Linked DNA regions of Lonchura striata. The protein of the gene in region 1 purifies or fractionates together with the protein of each later gene. This does not show direct contact. Links are inferred from orthologs where the notes say so. Each region holds a gene or a part of one and is shown on either strand. Other genes may lie near its edges.

Region 1 (7,848 bases):
CCCCAGTGTCCCCAGGTGTCCCAGGTGTCCCCTCTCACCTTGTGCATGAACACCAGCGCCCTCTCGTGGACGGCGTTGGCCTCCTCGAAGGCCGGGTCCGAGGGGCAGCGACCTTTGACCTGTGCCCGCCGCTGCCGCAGGTACTGGTACCACAGCTTGTAGCTGGGGAGAGGGCACAGCTGGCACAGCTGGCACAGCTGCCACCCCCGACACTCCTAACACACCTGGCACACCTGGCACCTGGGTCACCTGACACCCCTGACACACCTGTGACACCTGGCACAGGTACTGGTACCACAGCTTGTAGCTGGGGAGAGGGCACAGCTGGCACAGCTGGCACAGCTGGCACCCCTGACACTCCTAACACACCTGGCACACCTGGCACCTGGGTCACCCGGCACCCCTGTGACACCTGGCACAGGTACTGGTACCACAGCTTGTAGCTGGGGAGAGGGCACAGCTGGCACAGCTGGCACAGCTGGCACAGGTGGCACAGCTGGCACCGGTGCCACCTGTGTCACCCATGTTGCTCCTGCCACCTGAGCCACCTAGCCCCACCCCCAAGCACCCCAGATGCCCTCAGGTGTACCCCAGGTGCCCTGACGTGTACCCCTGGTAACCCCAGCCCCGCCCAGATGCCCTCAGGTGTACCCCAGGTGCCCCCAGCTCCCCTCAGATGCCCTCAGGTGCCCCCCAGGTGCCCTCAGGTGCCCCCCCAGCTCCCCTCAGGTGTCCCCCAGGTGCCCCCCAGGTGCCCCCAGCCCTCCCCCACATGCCCCAGGTGCCCCCCAGGTGCCCCCAGCCCCCCCAGCTCCCCTCAGGTGCCCCCCAGGTGCCCCCCAGCTCCCTCCAGGTGCCCTCAGGTGCCCCCAGCACCTCCCAGCTCCCCCCAGGTGCCCCCCAGGTGCCCCCCAGCTCCCCCCAGGTGCCCTCAGGTGCCCCCCAGCTCCCCCCAGGTGCCCTCAGGTGCCCCCCAGCTCCCCCCAGGTGCCCTCAGGTGCCCCCCAGCTCTCCCCAGGTGCCCCCCAGGTGCCCGTACCTGCCGGGCAGCTCCCTCAGGGCTCTCTCGTAGATCTGGTTGAGGCGGGCGCGGGGCCCGCGCTGCCGGGCCTGGGCATAGCGGAGCCAGCCCCGCACGGAGAACGGGTTCCTGAGGAGCTCCTCCTCGTGCTGGACCTCCTCTTCCTCCTGAGGGGACATTGGGGACATTGGGGACACCCAGAACGGGTTCCTGAGGAGTTCCTCCTCCTCCTCTTCCTCCTGAGGGGACATTGGGGACACCCAGAACGGGTTCCTGAGGAGCTCCTCCTCGTGCTGGACCTCCTCTTCCTCCTGAGGGGACATTGGGGACATTGGGGACACCCAGAACGGGTTCCTGAGGAGTTCCTCCTCCTCCTCTTCCTCCTGAGGGGACATTGGGGACACCCAGAACGGGTTCCTGAGGAGTTCCTCCTCCTCCTCTTCCTCCTGAGGGGACACTGGGGACACTGGGGACACCCAGAACGGGTTCCTGAGGAGTTCCTCCTCGTGCTGGACCTCCTCTTCCTCCTGAGGGGACATTGGGGACATTGGGGACACCCAGAACGGGTTCCTGAGGAGTTCCTCCTCGTGCTGGACCTCCTCTTCCTCCTGAGGGGACACTGGGGACACCCAGAACGGGTTCCTGAGGAGTTCCTCCTCGTGCTGGACCTCCTCTTCCTCCTGAGGGGACACTGGGGACATTGGGGACACCCAGAACGGGTTCCTGAGGAGTTCCTCCTCCTCTTCCTCCTGAGGGGACACTGGGGACACTGGGGACACCCAGAACGGGTTCCTGAGGAGTTCCTTCTCCTCCTCTTCCTCCTGAGAGGACACTGGGGACACTGAGGGGACTCTCAGGGGACAGAGGACAGCTCCGGCTCCTCCTGAGGGGACACAGGGACAGGGACAGATGTGGGGACAGGGATGGGAACTGGAGGGGACAGAAGGGGACAGAAAGGGACAGGAGGGGACAGAAAGGGACAGGAGGGGACACGAGGTGACGGGAGGGGACAGGAGAGGACAGAAAGGGACACGAGGGGACAGGAGGGGACAAAGATAGAGATGGGGACAGGAATGAGAACTGGAGAGGACAAAACGGGACAAAAAGGGACAGCAAGGCGCAGGAACAGAGATGGGGACAGGGATGGGAACTTGAGGGGACACGAGGGGACAGAAAGGGACAGGAGGGGACAGAAAGAGACAGGAGATGACAGCAGGGGACAGGAGGGGACAGCAGGTGACACCAGGGGACAGCAGGACACACCAGGGGACAGCAGGGGACACCAGGGGACAGCAGGGGACAGCAGGGGACAGCAATTGACACCAGGGGACAGCAGGGGACAGCAGGGGACAGCAGGAGACACCAGGGGACAGCAGGGGACAGCAGGGGACAGCAGGCGACACCAGGGGACAGCAGGCGACACCAGGGGACAGCAGGTGACACCAGGGGACAGCAGGGCACAGCAGGGGACACCAGGGGACAGCAGGCGACACCAGGGGACAGCATGTGACACCAGGGGACAGCAGGGGACAGCAGGGGACACCAGGGGACAGCAGGCGACACCAGGGGACAGCAGGGCACAGCAGGGGACACCAGGGGACAGCAGGCGACACCAGGGGACAGCATGTGACACCAGGGGACAGCAGGGGACAGCAGGAGACACCAGGGGACAGCAGGGGACAGCCCCGCACTCACGAAGCACAACTCGGGCCGCGCCGGGCCCGGCCCCGCTCCGGGATCCGCCATCGCTGCGGGCCCCGCTTCCTCCCGCGCTGCCGGTTCCGCCATGGCTGCCGCTTCCTCCAGCGCTGCCGCTTCCTCCAGCGCTGCCGCTTCCTCCAGCGCTGCCGGCGGCTGCTCCGGGCCGGGCCCCGCTCCCGGTCTCTCTCCCGGTCTCTCTCCCGGTGCCTCTCCCGGTCTCTCTCCCGCCGCCTCTCCCGGCGGCTCCTCCCGCGCCGCCATCTCCGCCTCAGCTGCCGCCATCTTCCCGCGCGCCGCCTCACTTCCGGCGCGCCGCCCTCACTTCCGGCGGCTCTGCCGCACTCCTTCCCGCCCTCCCTTCTGATTGGTGCGGCTCGCTTTGGGTCCGCCCCTCGCAGCGGCGCTGTCAGCCAATAGAATGCGGCGGTGCTGGAGGTGTGGCCAATGGGTGTCAGCGGTGCTGCGGGGTTGGCGGAGCCGGAAGCGCGGGGGGCCTGGAGGAGTCATGGGGGTGAAGCTGGAGATCCTGAGGGTGAGGGGGGAGGGGAAAATGGGGATGGGAAACGGGAATGGGGATGGAAAAATGGGGATGGGGATGGGAAAATGGGGATGGGAAAATGGGAATGGGAATGGGAAAATGGGAATGGGAATGGGAAAATGGGGATGGGGATGGGAAAATGGGAATGGGGATGGGAATGGGGGATGGGGATGGGAAAATGGGAATGGGAATGGGAATGGGAATGGGAATGGGGATGGGAAAATGGGAATGGGGATGGGGATGGGAAAATGGGAATGGGGATGGGAAAATGGGAATGGGGATGGGGGTGGGGATGGGAAAATGGGAATGGGAATGGGAAAATGGGAATGGGAATGGGGATGGGAAAATGGGAATGGGGATGGGGATGGGAATGGGAAAATGGGGATGGGAATGGGAAAATGGGGATGGGAATGGGAAAATGGGAATGGGGATGGGGATGGGGATGGGAACAGGAATATGGGAATAGGAACAGGTGACACAGGTGACACAGGGGTGACACTCGGGTGACCCAGCTGTGCTCCCCCAGATGTGCGTGTACCTGTCCTTCCCCGTCGCCGTGTTCTGGGTCTCCAACCAGGCCGAGCTCTTCCAGCGGCACGTGATCGACAGGAAGGTGGGCACGGACCCCTGGGGACACCTGGGGACACCTGGGGACACCTGGGGACAGCTGGGACACACCTGGGACATACCTGGGGACAGCTGGGACACACCTGGGGACAGCTGGGCACACCTGGGGACAGCTGAGACACACCTGGGTACAGCTGGGACACACCTGGGGACAGCTGAGACACACCTGGGGACAGCTGGGGACACACCTGGTACAGCTGGGACACACCTGGGTCACCTGGGGACAGCTGGGGACAGCTGGGCACACCTGGGTACAGCTGGGACACACCTGGGTCACCTGGGGACAGCTGGGACACACCTGGGGACAGCTGGAGACACACCTGGGTACAGCTGGGACACACCTGGGTCACCTGGGGACAGCTGGGACACACCTGGGGACAGCTGGGGACACACCTGGGTCACCTGGGGACAGCTGGGGACACACCTGGGGACAGCTGGGACACACCTGGGGACAGCTGGGACACACCTGGGTCACCTGGGGACAGCTGGGGACACACCTGGGGACAGCTGGGACACACCTGGGTCACCTGGGGACAGCTGGGACACACCTGGGGACAGCTGGGGACACACCTGGGTCACCTGGGGACAGCTGGGGACACACCTGGGGACAGCTGGGACACACCTGGGTCACCTGGGGACAGCTGGGACACACCTGGGGACAGCTGGGACACACCTGGGTCACCTGGGGACAGCTGGGACACACCTGGGGACAGCTGGGGACACACCTGGGCACACGCTGTCCTCGCTGTCCTCGCTGTCCCCTCCCCTGAGCCGCTCTCTTTGCAGAGGGAGATTTTCCCGCCGGACACGCCGGAACGGGTGAGAGCACAGCGTCCCCAAATGTCCCCAAATGTCCCTGTCAGTGTCCCCAATGTCCCCCTCAGTGTCCCTGTCCCTGTCCCCTCCCTGTCCCTGTCCCCTCAGTGTCCCCTCCCTGTCCCTGTCCCCTCAGTGTCCCTGTCCCTGTCCCCTCCCTGTCCCTGTCCCCTCAGCGCCAGGCCATGGCTGAGCTGAAGCAGCGGCTGCAGGAGAGGAGAGGGACACAGGCGTGAGGGGACAGAGGGGACACACGGCCACCCGCGGGACACGGCGGTGACAACGGGGACACGGTGACAGCAGGGACACACGGCCACCTGCGGGACACACGGCCACCCGCGGGACACACGGCCACCCATGGGACACGGCGGTGACAACTGGGACATGGTGACAGCAGGGACACATGGCCACCCACGGGACACACGGCCACCCATGGGACACGGCGGTGACAACGGGGACACGGTGACAGCAGGGACACGGCCACCTGCAGGACACACGGCCACCTGCAGGATGCAGCAGTGACAGCGAGGACACGGTGGCAGCGAGGACACGGCGGTGACAGTGAGGACATGGCAGTGACAACAAGGACACGGCGGTGGCAGCGGGGACATGGTGGTGGCAACAGGGACACGGTGACAACGAGGACACAGCGGTGACAACAGGGACACGGCGGTGACACCAAGGACACGGCGGTGACACCGAGGACACAGCGGTGACAACAAGGACACAGCGGTGGCAGCGAGGACACGGCGGCGGCAGCAGGGACGTGGCATTGCTGTGACACCGGCGCCGTGGCGGTGACACGGGACACGCCTGGCGCTACCCTGTCACCGTGGGCACACGGTGACACCGGTGCCAGGCACGCGCTGGTGACAGAGGGGACAGTGACAGCCCCGGTGTCACCGCTGTGATTGTTGGTGACAGTGACAGCCCTGGTGTCACCGCTGTGACCTCGGTGATGGTGACAGCACTGGTGTCACTGCTGTGACTTTGGTGACAGTGACAGCCCTGGTGTCACCGCTGTGACCTCAGTGACAGTGACAGCCCCGGTGTCACCACTGTGACCGTCGGTGACACGCGTGACACGTGTGTGTGACACGTGTGTGACGTGCCAGGGGACACGTGGCACTCCCAGCTGTCCCCACCCCAATAAACAGCGCTGGCACCGCCCACGGGGTGTCCCCAAGGTGTCCCCAAAGTGTCCCCGGGGTGTCCCCAAAGTGTCCCCGGGGTGTCCCCAGGGTGTCCCCAAAGTGTCCCCGGGGTGTCCCCAAAGTGTTCCCGGGGTGTCCCCAGGGGGGCACTGCCACCCCTCAGTGCCACCCCTCAGTGCCACCCCTGTGTCTCTCGGTGTCCCCTGGTGCCACCCCCACGGGCGTCCAGTGTCCTTTAATGTCACCTGAGTGCTGCCAGCGTCTCTCGGTGCCACCCTCAGTGCCACCCCCAGAGATGTCCGTGTCACCCCCCCCGCCCGGTGCCACCCTCAGTGCCACCCCCATGTCCCCAAGGTCCCCACAGGTGCCCCCTGATGCCACCCCCAGAGGTGTCGGTGCCACCCCCAGTGTCACCCCCTGCCCTGTGCCACCCTCAGTGCCACCCCCAGAGGTGTCAGTGTCACCCTGGTGCCATCCCCAGTGTCACCCCCTGCCCAGTGCCACCCCCGTGTACCCAAGGTCCCCAGAGGTGCCACCCCTGGTGCCACCCCCAGAGGTGTCGGTGCCACCCCCGGTGTCACCCCCCTGCCTGGTGCCACCCTCAGTGCCACCCCCAGAGGTGTCAGTGCCACCTCCCCTGCCCAGTGCCACCCTTGGTGCCACCCCCAGAGGTGTCAGTGCCACCCCCAGTGTCACCTCCTGCCCGGTGCCACCCCCAGAGGTGTTGGTGTCACCTCCCCTGCCTGGTGCCACCCTTAGTATCACCCCGAGATGTGTCAGTGTCACCCTGGTGCCATCCCCAGTGTCACCCCCTGCCTGGTGCCACCCTCGGTGCCACCTCCGTGTCCCCAAGGTCCCCCCCGGTGTCCCCCCGTGTCCCCACGCTGTGCCAGGCCCATTGCTCGGGGTTTATTGGGGACACAGCGGGCGAGGGGCGGGCACGGGGTGCCAGGGGGGTCCGGGAGGGTGCCAGGGGGTCCGGGGGGTATTTGGGGGTGCCAGGGGGTCCAGGAGGGTGCCAGGGGGTCCGGGGGGTATTTGGGGGTGCCAGGGGGTCCAGGAGGGTGCCAGGGGGTCCGGGGGGTATTTGGGGGTCCGGGGGGTATTTGGGGGTCCCGAGGGGGTGCCAAGGGGGCCTGGGGGGGTGCCAGGGGATCCCGGGGGGTATTTGGGGGTCCCAGGGGGTATTTGGGAGTGCCAGGGGGTCCTGGGGGGTATTTGGAGGTGCCAGGGGGTCCTGGGGTGTATTTGGGGGTGCCAGGGGGTCCTGGGGGGAGTCCTGGGGGGGTGCCAGGGGATCCCGGGGGGTATTTGGGGGTCCTGGGGGGGTGCCAGGGGGTCTGGGGTGTATTTGGGGGTGCCAGGGGGTCCTGGGGGGGTGCCAGGGGGTCCAGGGTGGTCCCGGGACTTTCAGTCCTGCGGGCAGAGGGGGGAGGGGCACTCGCGGGGTGCTCCCAGCCCTGGGGGTGCCCCCGGTGCCCACCCTGGGTGCCCCCCTGAGCCCCCTCCCCAAACTCCTGGGGGGTCTCACAGAGCACCCGGTGCCCACCCCCGTGCCCACCCTGTGCCCCCCCTGACCAAAGCCCACCTGCGTGCCCCCCGCCCCGAGCCGAAACCCCCCCAGTGCCCTCCCGGTGCCCCCCGGTACCCCCGGTGCCCAATGCCCCCCTCGAGACGAAGCCCCCCCGGTACCCGCCCGGTGCCCCCCAGTAACCCCCGGTACCTTACCGGTGCCCACCTGCGTGCCCCCCGAGCTCAAGCCCCCCAGTATCCCTGTACCCCCCGGTGCCCCCGGTGCCCGGTGCCCACCTGCGTGCCCCCCGAGCCGAAGCCCCCCGATACCCCGGTGTCCCTGTACCCCCCGGTATCCCGGTACCCCGGTACCCCCGGTGCCCGGTGCCCACCTGCGTGCCCCCCGAGCCGAAGCCGGGCAGGCGGGGCACCGGCAGCCGCTGCTCGTCCATCCTGCGGCCCTGCGAGCTGGCCACCAT
Region 2 (7,817 bases), on another chromosome or scaffold:
GAGAGTTAAAAGAACCAAGCAGAACATAAAATATTGTAGTTTTAAGTACATATTGATAATCTTTATTTTACATCGTTTTAGACATACTCTGTAAGTTCTTCCAGGAAAGTCTGAAGCAGTAATAAACTACTCTTTAAACAGACTTCTGTTCTTTTTCAAGAGAAGAAAATGTTAATGATGATGCTGCAGCACAATCCATTTTTAACCTCACAGCAAGAGATATAATCCAAAACCTTCTCTAATTTCTGCAAGTTCTGATTTAAAGCTTAATGATACATTCCAAATTACAGTCCCAAGTTTTTTTCCCTTATTTCATTCAGTCTCTTTCTCCATGTTCCTCTTACACTAGACATTGATAATCATAAAACAAGACACTCTGAGATGTCACTTACATTTATGGAATTATTTCCTCTTTAAACTAAGCTCTCCTCATTTTCCTCAGTACACAATTCAAGGCCTTAGAAAGTAGGAACAAACTGTACCTTCAAACTGTCTTACTGCCCTGCTTTTCCTTCTCACCTTTACAGGTTCCTATGAAAATATAACTCCAAATTTCCTTCCCCTTAGCTTACCTGAATTCAAGAAGCATTATCTTTCTGATCGCAAACCTAAAAAGGAAAAATTAATCAATTAACATAGGAAAGAAAGCCTCCGACACACAGCTACATGAAAAATGACTATACTTTCCTTTATTACATTATATGAGGAAATATGTAGAAACACTCAGGAATTATTTCTGTCCTGACATTTCCATGCAATAGCAACCACTTGAATGCAGAAGCAACTGCTGTAACACTGGAGATGCTAAAGTTCAAAGAGCAATCAAATTCGCATTTAAAAAAAAAAAATCATGTAGGTCTTTTAAATATGAAACACCACTTCTAATAGCCTTGATGATATAAACTGCTAGCAGCTGAGAGTGTCTTCTGAACACTACAATTATATAAGTAATCTGTTCATAATGGTATTTTTTTCTTAGTGACTGGCAATGGAAGTTTGCTTTGACTCGATATGACGAAGTCTTAGATTGCTTTCATACAGGAATAATATAGAGAATTCTCTGCAGAGCTTGTTCTTCCCCAAAAAGCTCCAGCTACAGTTACACCTCTTTTCTGCAGAGAGCTGCAGAATGCAGTGTATCTTGGATTCATTGCTCCCCATCTAACAGTACAATTCACTGAAACCACTTTCCCTTTATGAATCTGGTAACAGCAGCCAGAACAGAGGAGGAAGCCAAAGGCAGTGCACTCCACAACATTTTTTTCTCTTTAGAGACAAAAGAAGAGATCAACCTTCTATAACCACTACAACAAAACCAACATAAAAGACAACAGATTACCAGGGAAAAGGTCTGAAAAATATTAACTCAAATCATCATGTTTAAGGTTTATGGGCTTAGGAACTCTCTTGTTACTACATTCATACTTTGAAATACCATAATGATGTAATTACTTAAATGCACTTGAGTAATTTTCATCTGCTTTTAATATATAGGTGAGTTTGAAAGTATTCTATCAAACATTAGAAACTCCAACAACATGCATGATGTTGGAATGGTGGTAAATAAGAGAAAACAACTGGTGTACTTACTTTGACCTGACAATTTCTTTTGTATATACATCTTCAATGACCTATGGAAAAAAAATTTAAGAGAATTTTAGATAACCACTAACATGATTCAAAATGCATTAAGACATTTTATTATGAACAGCATACAAAATAACTGCATGCTACATGGAAACAGCACCTACATTTATAAACTACAAATACATAACAAATAACAGTGTCTCAAGCAATAGTTGACCTTCCAAGCAGTCTCATAGAAAACATATAACACTAAATATTGGCACACCACGGAATGGTTGATCCTCATTATTTTACAGACCCCAACAAAATTCCAATAGAAGTAATTACCTTTACATCAAAAGACAATGTCTTCTTCACATGTGGAGCCCAGTATTTATTTGCTAACTGCACAAGGAAAAAAAAAAAAGGTTAAATACATACATTTTCATGTCAGTGATATAACATCTCTACAACAGATCCCATCCCCGAACTTTATTTCACTAGTATCTTGCTTAATTTCAGTTTATGCTAACTACAAGTAACAAAATAATGTTTTTAACAGCAATACTTATCAACCATTTAAAGCTTTTATGCCTAAACCTCTTTCAAAAGAAATGCAAGTCTTTGGGAAAATTTCAAACGCACAGGCTGCTATCTAACGAACATTTTCTATTCCTAAGTTACCTCTAACAAATCCATCAAAAATAAACCATGATTTTTCAGGAACTGCAAATCCCAAATGGCAAGTGAGTACGCTTCCTTGAGGAATCTGACAAGTAACTAGAAGTTCTATTTAAAAGCCTAGCAGGTTAAGGCTCTTTGCTGCAGCCATCACTCCACCAGTACTCCTGAGCGATGATAACAAGAGCTTCCTATGCAACTTTATTCAAGCTTCTTTATGTTCCGGAACAAGAAGGAGACCAGATTTCCAAGGAAAAAAAAAAAAAAAAAAAAGAAAACAAAAGAGACGACTTGTAGAAAACCATTTAGAACTTTAACCAACAGAGAGCTTTCGGCAGCTTTCCACACGTTAAGAGACGCCTTACAGCGATGCACAGTGCATCGCACCCATGCGTTCGGTAGCGCTGCTTTGTAAATCCCGCCGTTCGGAAGCGCGGGGGAAATGCCCTCTCGTACATGACACAGGCGCACATCTCCCGTCAACTGCGACCAGACAAGCCCCTCGGCCCAGCACCCCGGCCCACAAAGGCTGTTTAACACCGAGACGCCGTCGCAGCCGGAATGTCCCTTTGAGCGCCGGCCGCGGCAGAGGCGGCCCGGAGGCGCCTTTGGCCCTACCTGTGTCACGTACTCCGCGTTGATCTGCGACACCGTGGGCGCCACGATCTTCTTCGGCGGGGCCGAGGGCGCGGCCGCCGCCGCCGCCATGGTGCCGCCGCTGGAGCCGCCGGCACAGGCCTCGGTGCCCCGGCGCTGCCAGCCCGGGCCAGGCCGAGGGAGGGACCTCCGGGCCGGGAGCCGCGGAGGCGGGAGCGCTTCCGGGCCGGGAGGGCTGGAGCGGCCGCGGGGAGGCGGGAGCGGCCGCGCCATCTGCTGCTCCCGCCGTGCCGCTGCAGCTCCTTCCTGCCCCGCCGCTCCCTCCGTGCTGCTGCAGCTCCCTCCTGCCCCGCCGCTCCCTCCTTGCTGCTGCAGCTCCCTCCTGCCCCGCCGCCGCTCCTTCCTGCCCCGCCGCTCCCTCCTGCCCCGCCGCTCCCTCCTTGCTGCTGCAGCTCCCTCCTGCCCCGCCGCCGCTCCTTCCTGCCCCGCCGCTCCCTCCTGCCCCGCCGCCGTTCCCTCCTGCCCCGCCGCCGTTCCTTCCTGCCCCGCCGCCGCTCCCTCCTGCCCCGCCGCTCCCTCCTGCCCCGCCGCCGCTCCTCCCTGCCCCGCCGCAGCTCCCTCGCTCCCTCTGTGCCTCCGGCCGGAGTTCAGGGGTCGGTGTTGAAAGGCTGCGGGAACAGATAAGGAGACTGTCAGCACACAGAATTGCTGCCACACTCGGCCTTCCAACGCTTAGGGGGACGCCTGCTTTATGTATCACTTAGAGCGCAGCTTTCTGCCCATCTAACCTGGAAGAACACACTCTCTTTAATATCAAAGAATTGCCACTGACTCCTGAGCGTGGGTGAGCGCTCTGTTCCGTTCACAGGCCCGTAATTAAGATCTTTTACTTCAGAGTTGGACAGGATGATCCTTATGGGGTCCCTTCCAACTCAGAATACTCTGTTGAATCTCTTGAAATGTGTGCAGCAAAGACATGGGTACAAGGGTGAAATTGCATGCTCAAGGAAGTCAACCGTTTGCTAATGCTTTAGAATGCTTTGCAATTAACTTATTCTATTTGGTAAACTAATTAAGGAGGAAATGAACAAATTCCCTAGGGAAGTTACTGTGCTTTGTTTCTGGGCTCATTGTCTATCACCTGCCACTTGAGTACTTTAAACTTCCAGGCAGGTCCCATTGAAGTCTGTTTGAATATCACCTCCTTTGTTTTCATATCAAGGTGATCTCCATTTCATTTCTTCAAGCAGGGGTTAAACTAAATATTCTTTTTGAAGTTGAATTAGAATGTACAATAGGAATGGGAAAAGCAATGACAGTACCTTGAACAGGATCAGACAATGGCCGCATTCAAATAAATATGCCTACTTCATGCCTTTACTTTAGAAGATCCAGGAAGATGAAAACTAGTAAAATTTAAAAGTTACAAAAGTGCCAGTAACAAATTTTGTAAATAACTAGGATTAAAATTGAAGCTACAGAACAGTGATAAAAAAGGACAAAGGAATGTAAGTTTATTACCCATAAATATTGGCTGAAAATAGAAAAATTTCTGAATGGGCTTTCAGATGGAAGTCAAAAGTTGATTGATGTTAAGATGGGACAATTAGGAGAGGCAAATGCATTTTGGATTTTGTAGATTTTGTTTAAAAAATTGTGAATTTTCTACAACAGCCTTGCAAGGCTAACCTAAATCTTCTGGCTATGATGGATCATCAGGCCTGTGTCAAAACCCACAAATTTCTATATGATATCAAAGCTATGAAACCTGCAGGAGGAATCCACATTTGCCTAACTTTTGGCATTTGTGTGTCCCAGTGAGGAGGTCCGTTGTCTTCAATCTCACTACAGTCAGTGTGGCCACAGAAGTCCTTCCAAAGGGCAAGTCAGAGCTAATCCAAGTGCTCTCATTCTCTAAAAGAGCTTCTGATATCAGAAACTAATATTAGATGCCTCAGTGAAAATGCCAAATAAAGTGACCAAGATCCCCTCCCTGTAAGTAATATATTAATTTTTTTCTCTATAGAGGGTATTGTTTATTTAGAGAGTGCTGGGGACAGTAGGACTACAAATGAGTAGCAAAAGTATAAATTAGTGCTTTGGAAAAATACATAGCTTTCATCGTCAAGAGCAGAGGAACCTTTAAAGAATTGTGGTGAGACCAAGCATAATGACACACGGTGTTGTACCTTTGTTCCCATCTGCAAATCTCACCCCAGCTCACAACTGTCCAGTAAGACTGGTCTCTTGAATTCCTATGCTTAGTTTCTCCCAGAGTAGAGGCACATCTGACACTTTCCACTCCAAACTCCTTTGTAACTGAGGAGAAATAAAACCCTGTACCCCATCATCCCGACAGCCTTCTATTAAGTTCTCCATCTTTCTATACTCATTGGCTTAACATGTCAAGAAAATCAAACATTCCTTTCAAAAACCTGTTAATTCATTAATGAAGACATGTATTATTTAAAAGCCACATATTTGAGTTGATGCAGTTTTCAAGACTGTTATTCATTTCTAGGCTGCATACAGTCCTGGTCAATTTATATTCCATACTGCTTTCTTGCTTAATTAGCTCCCTTGTTTTGGATGCTTCCCTTTCTATATTATTGTAATTGGGAAAAATATACTTTTCTCTTTTTCTTTGTAAACCATGTAAGCCAAGGTCATCAGTAAGCTGGCCATTGCTTTTAGTTCAGTTATACTCTTCTGAGCACAGTTCCACCAGAACAGGAAGTACCTAGTGATAATCAGCAGGGGTTGGTCTATGTTCTGTATTTTCTACCTTGTAAATTATTTTAGATTCTGAAGTCACAGAAAATATTAATTCCTAGCAATGAAAACTCCAGAGAATTCATAGATAAAGATTTCAAACATTAATTGATTTTGTTATTGTTATAGGGTCATCAGTGAGACATGACCAGTGAATTCAGCAGATTAAGCAGTGCCATAGATTCAGCAGGGCCGTACTTCTAATATAAACACTGTCTCACTTTTTACTGTTTGTCTATCACACAAAGATTTAGACTTCAGCTTCTTAGACATAAACTCTGCACTAAGATGTAGACTCTGTGTATGGATACCATCTTGCACCTTTTTATACTCTGGTGGGAAAGTTTTGTTCCAAAGCAAGTAAAAAATACCATCACTGTATTCAGCACGCAAAAGGGCATTATCTTACCCATTCTAGTCAGCAATTTTTTTCAAAATAATGAGCAGGCATCTTGTCTGGTGGACAACTGACTTGTTCTCCTCCAAGGAAGCATTCTGCTGGGACAGATGATTCGCATGTGCCTCAGCCTGGTCACTTGCAGTACAGCAGCAGTGACTATTCCTGGCTCTTTGATCTGGAATGATGGGGTGGCTACTATCACAACTCTACTCTCACCTATCCAGGTGGCCAGGGGAGCAGCAGATCAATTGTTCCCCTGACATAAGATGGAATGGAAGATATAAAAACCTTCTTTCCAGGGTGAAGACTCTGTTCCCTCATAGCTGAGGGCATGCTAACACCACTCTCATTAAAGAGGAAAGCAGCTCACTGACAGCAGCATTGTTGTACTGCCCCGTGCTCTCCCATCCAGGAGTTGTTTTGCTGCTGGTCCACCTGCACAGTTTCAAGCTAGGCATAAAGCTCCAGTACATGACTTTTGGCCTCAACTTCTTCTTGATAGAGACACTGGGGCCTGATAGGTGGACTCTTCTTTCCCAAATCATTGACTCTGGTGTACTTCCCATTTCAACAGCAGTTTTTTCTCCTTTCTGCATATACTGAATACCTTTAGTGTTTCTTGGCCCATGTGTTCCATAACTCAGAGGCCAAGGGAATTTTATATTCCCTTTTTGAAAGCGAGCCTTGAGTGTTCTGACAGCCATGTTCTGTGTGCAGAAAAGTCAAAACCAGCTAAGTTTTGATGGCTGAATTGTGGTTTCTCTGTGCACATCTTACAAATATTGAGGTGGGTTTTAATAGAGCTATGCTTCTCAGGATGGAGGTCAAAATATCTGGGATGCATCTCACTGCTGTGTGGGAATATCATTGCATCATACTGCATGTGTACACTTAGCTTTGGGGAGGTACCTAACTGCACGCTGCACACCTTAATTCAAAGCAGATGAATTTCAGCCTGAGTGGCACTAAGCCATATGTTGGGTAGGCTTTCTGTGAATCGAGTCTGTAAAGCTTAGGGGAACACAACACTTTAAAATCAGCTTTTATCTTCATTTATTGACTTTTGCACATACACATGAGATTTTTCAAGAGGCATCCCTCTGAAAAGCTCTGAAACGGAAATCTCCACATATGAGAATTTCAAGTGTCATCATGCATCATGTAAATATACCAACTTGCATGTACAACTTTTCTTCTAACCAAAGGACAAAAGTAACTATGAATATGCAATATTTTTAAATATTTATTGCTAAGTTATATTAAATAAGTTTCTAAAAAGATGAGGGGATGAACAGCATTTAAATATAGAATAATATGTACATTAAGCAAAGAAGACCTGAAATCTCTGTGTCTCTTACCTGTTGAAATTATAGAAGAAATATATTGATTTAAACCTCCTTTCAGGTAAATAAAATTTAGAAAATCTTCTCAAAAAAGATTAGAGGAATCCTTTAACATGTAAAAATCCCCCCCACAATGACAGGGGGTTATTGCTTTGGTTACAGCTCATCCTTCATAGCAGTTAATATTCATATAAACTAAATGTTCAGTCTGTTCATTACAGCTTTAATTCAATCATGTCACGTTGGTTTTACTATTTTATTTATGTGCATTCTTCTAGTCCAAGACTTTTGTCACTGTGTTCATCTCATTAAATATGTGTACTTCCACTCAGTAAATATGGGTACTTTCAAAAATGATGCCTCAGTTAAGTAGCAGATGCTTCTTAAAATATTTAGAATTTTAAAGTGTAAAGAAGCCATCAGTAGCATTCTGATTTGTGTATAAATATTTATTTAGC

The links. Proteins that work in one complex are often made in the same cells at the same time.
Region 2: the proteins of XAB2 (region 1) and AQR fractionate together in Homo sapiens (co-fractionation; 3 studies listed by BioGRID and IntAct, with this or other methods). This does not show direct contact. The link is inferred for Lonchura striata from reciprocal best matches to the Homo sapiens genes XAB2 and AQR.

What each region holds. Positions count from the first base shown.
Region 1 is NC_134623.1:2,281,124-2,288,971, reverse strand, and holds the start of XAB2 (pre-mRNA-splicing factor SYF1), read right to left. Parts: upstream 3,010-7,848; 5' UTR 3,005-3,009; coding exon 2,717-3,004; intron 1,189-2,716; coding exon 1,040-1,188; intron 163-1,039; coding exon 39-162; intron 1-38. Other genes in the region: protein PET100 homolog, mitochondrial, read left to right, coding at 3,141-3,254, 3,787-3,873, 4,674-4,706, 4,880-4,939; PCP2 (Purkinje cell protein 2 homolog), read right to left, coding at 7,268-7,273, 7,762-7,848. UniProt on the Homo sapiens protein: Involved in pre-mRNA splicing as component of the spliceosome. Involved in transcription-coupled repair (TCR), transcription and pre-mRNA splicing.
Region 2 is NC_134608.1:29,474,055-29,481,871, forward strand, and holds the start of AQR (RNA helicase aquarius), read right to left. Parts: upstream 3,013-7,817; 5' UTR 2,956-3,012; coding exon 2,866-2,955; intron 1,972-2,865; coding exon 1,915-1,971; intron 1,632-1,914; coding exon 1,591-1,631; intron 609-1,590; coding exon 573-608; intron 1-572.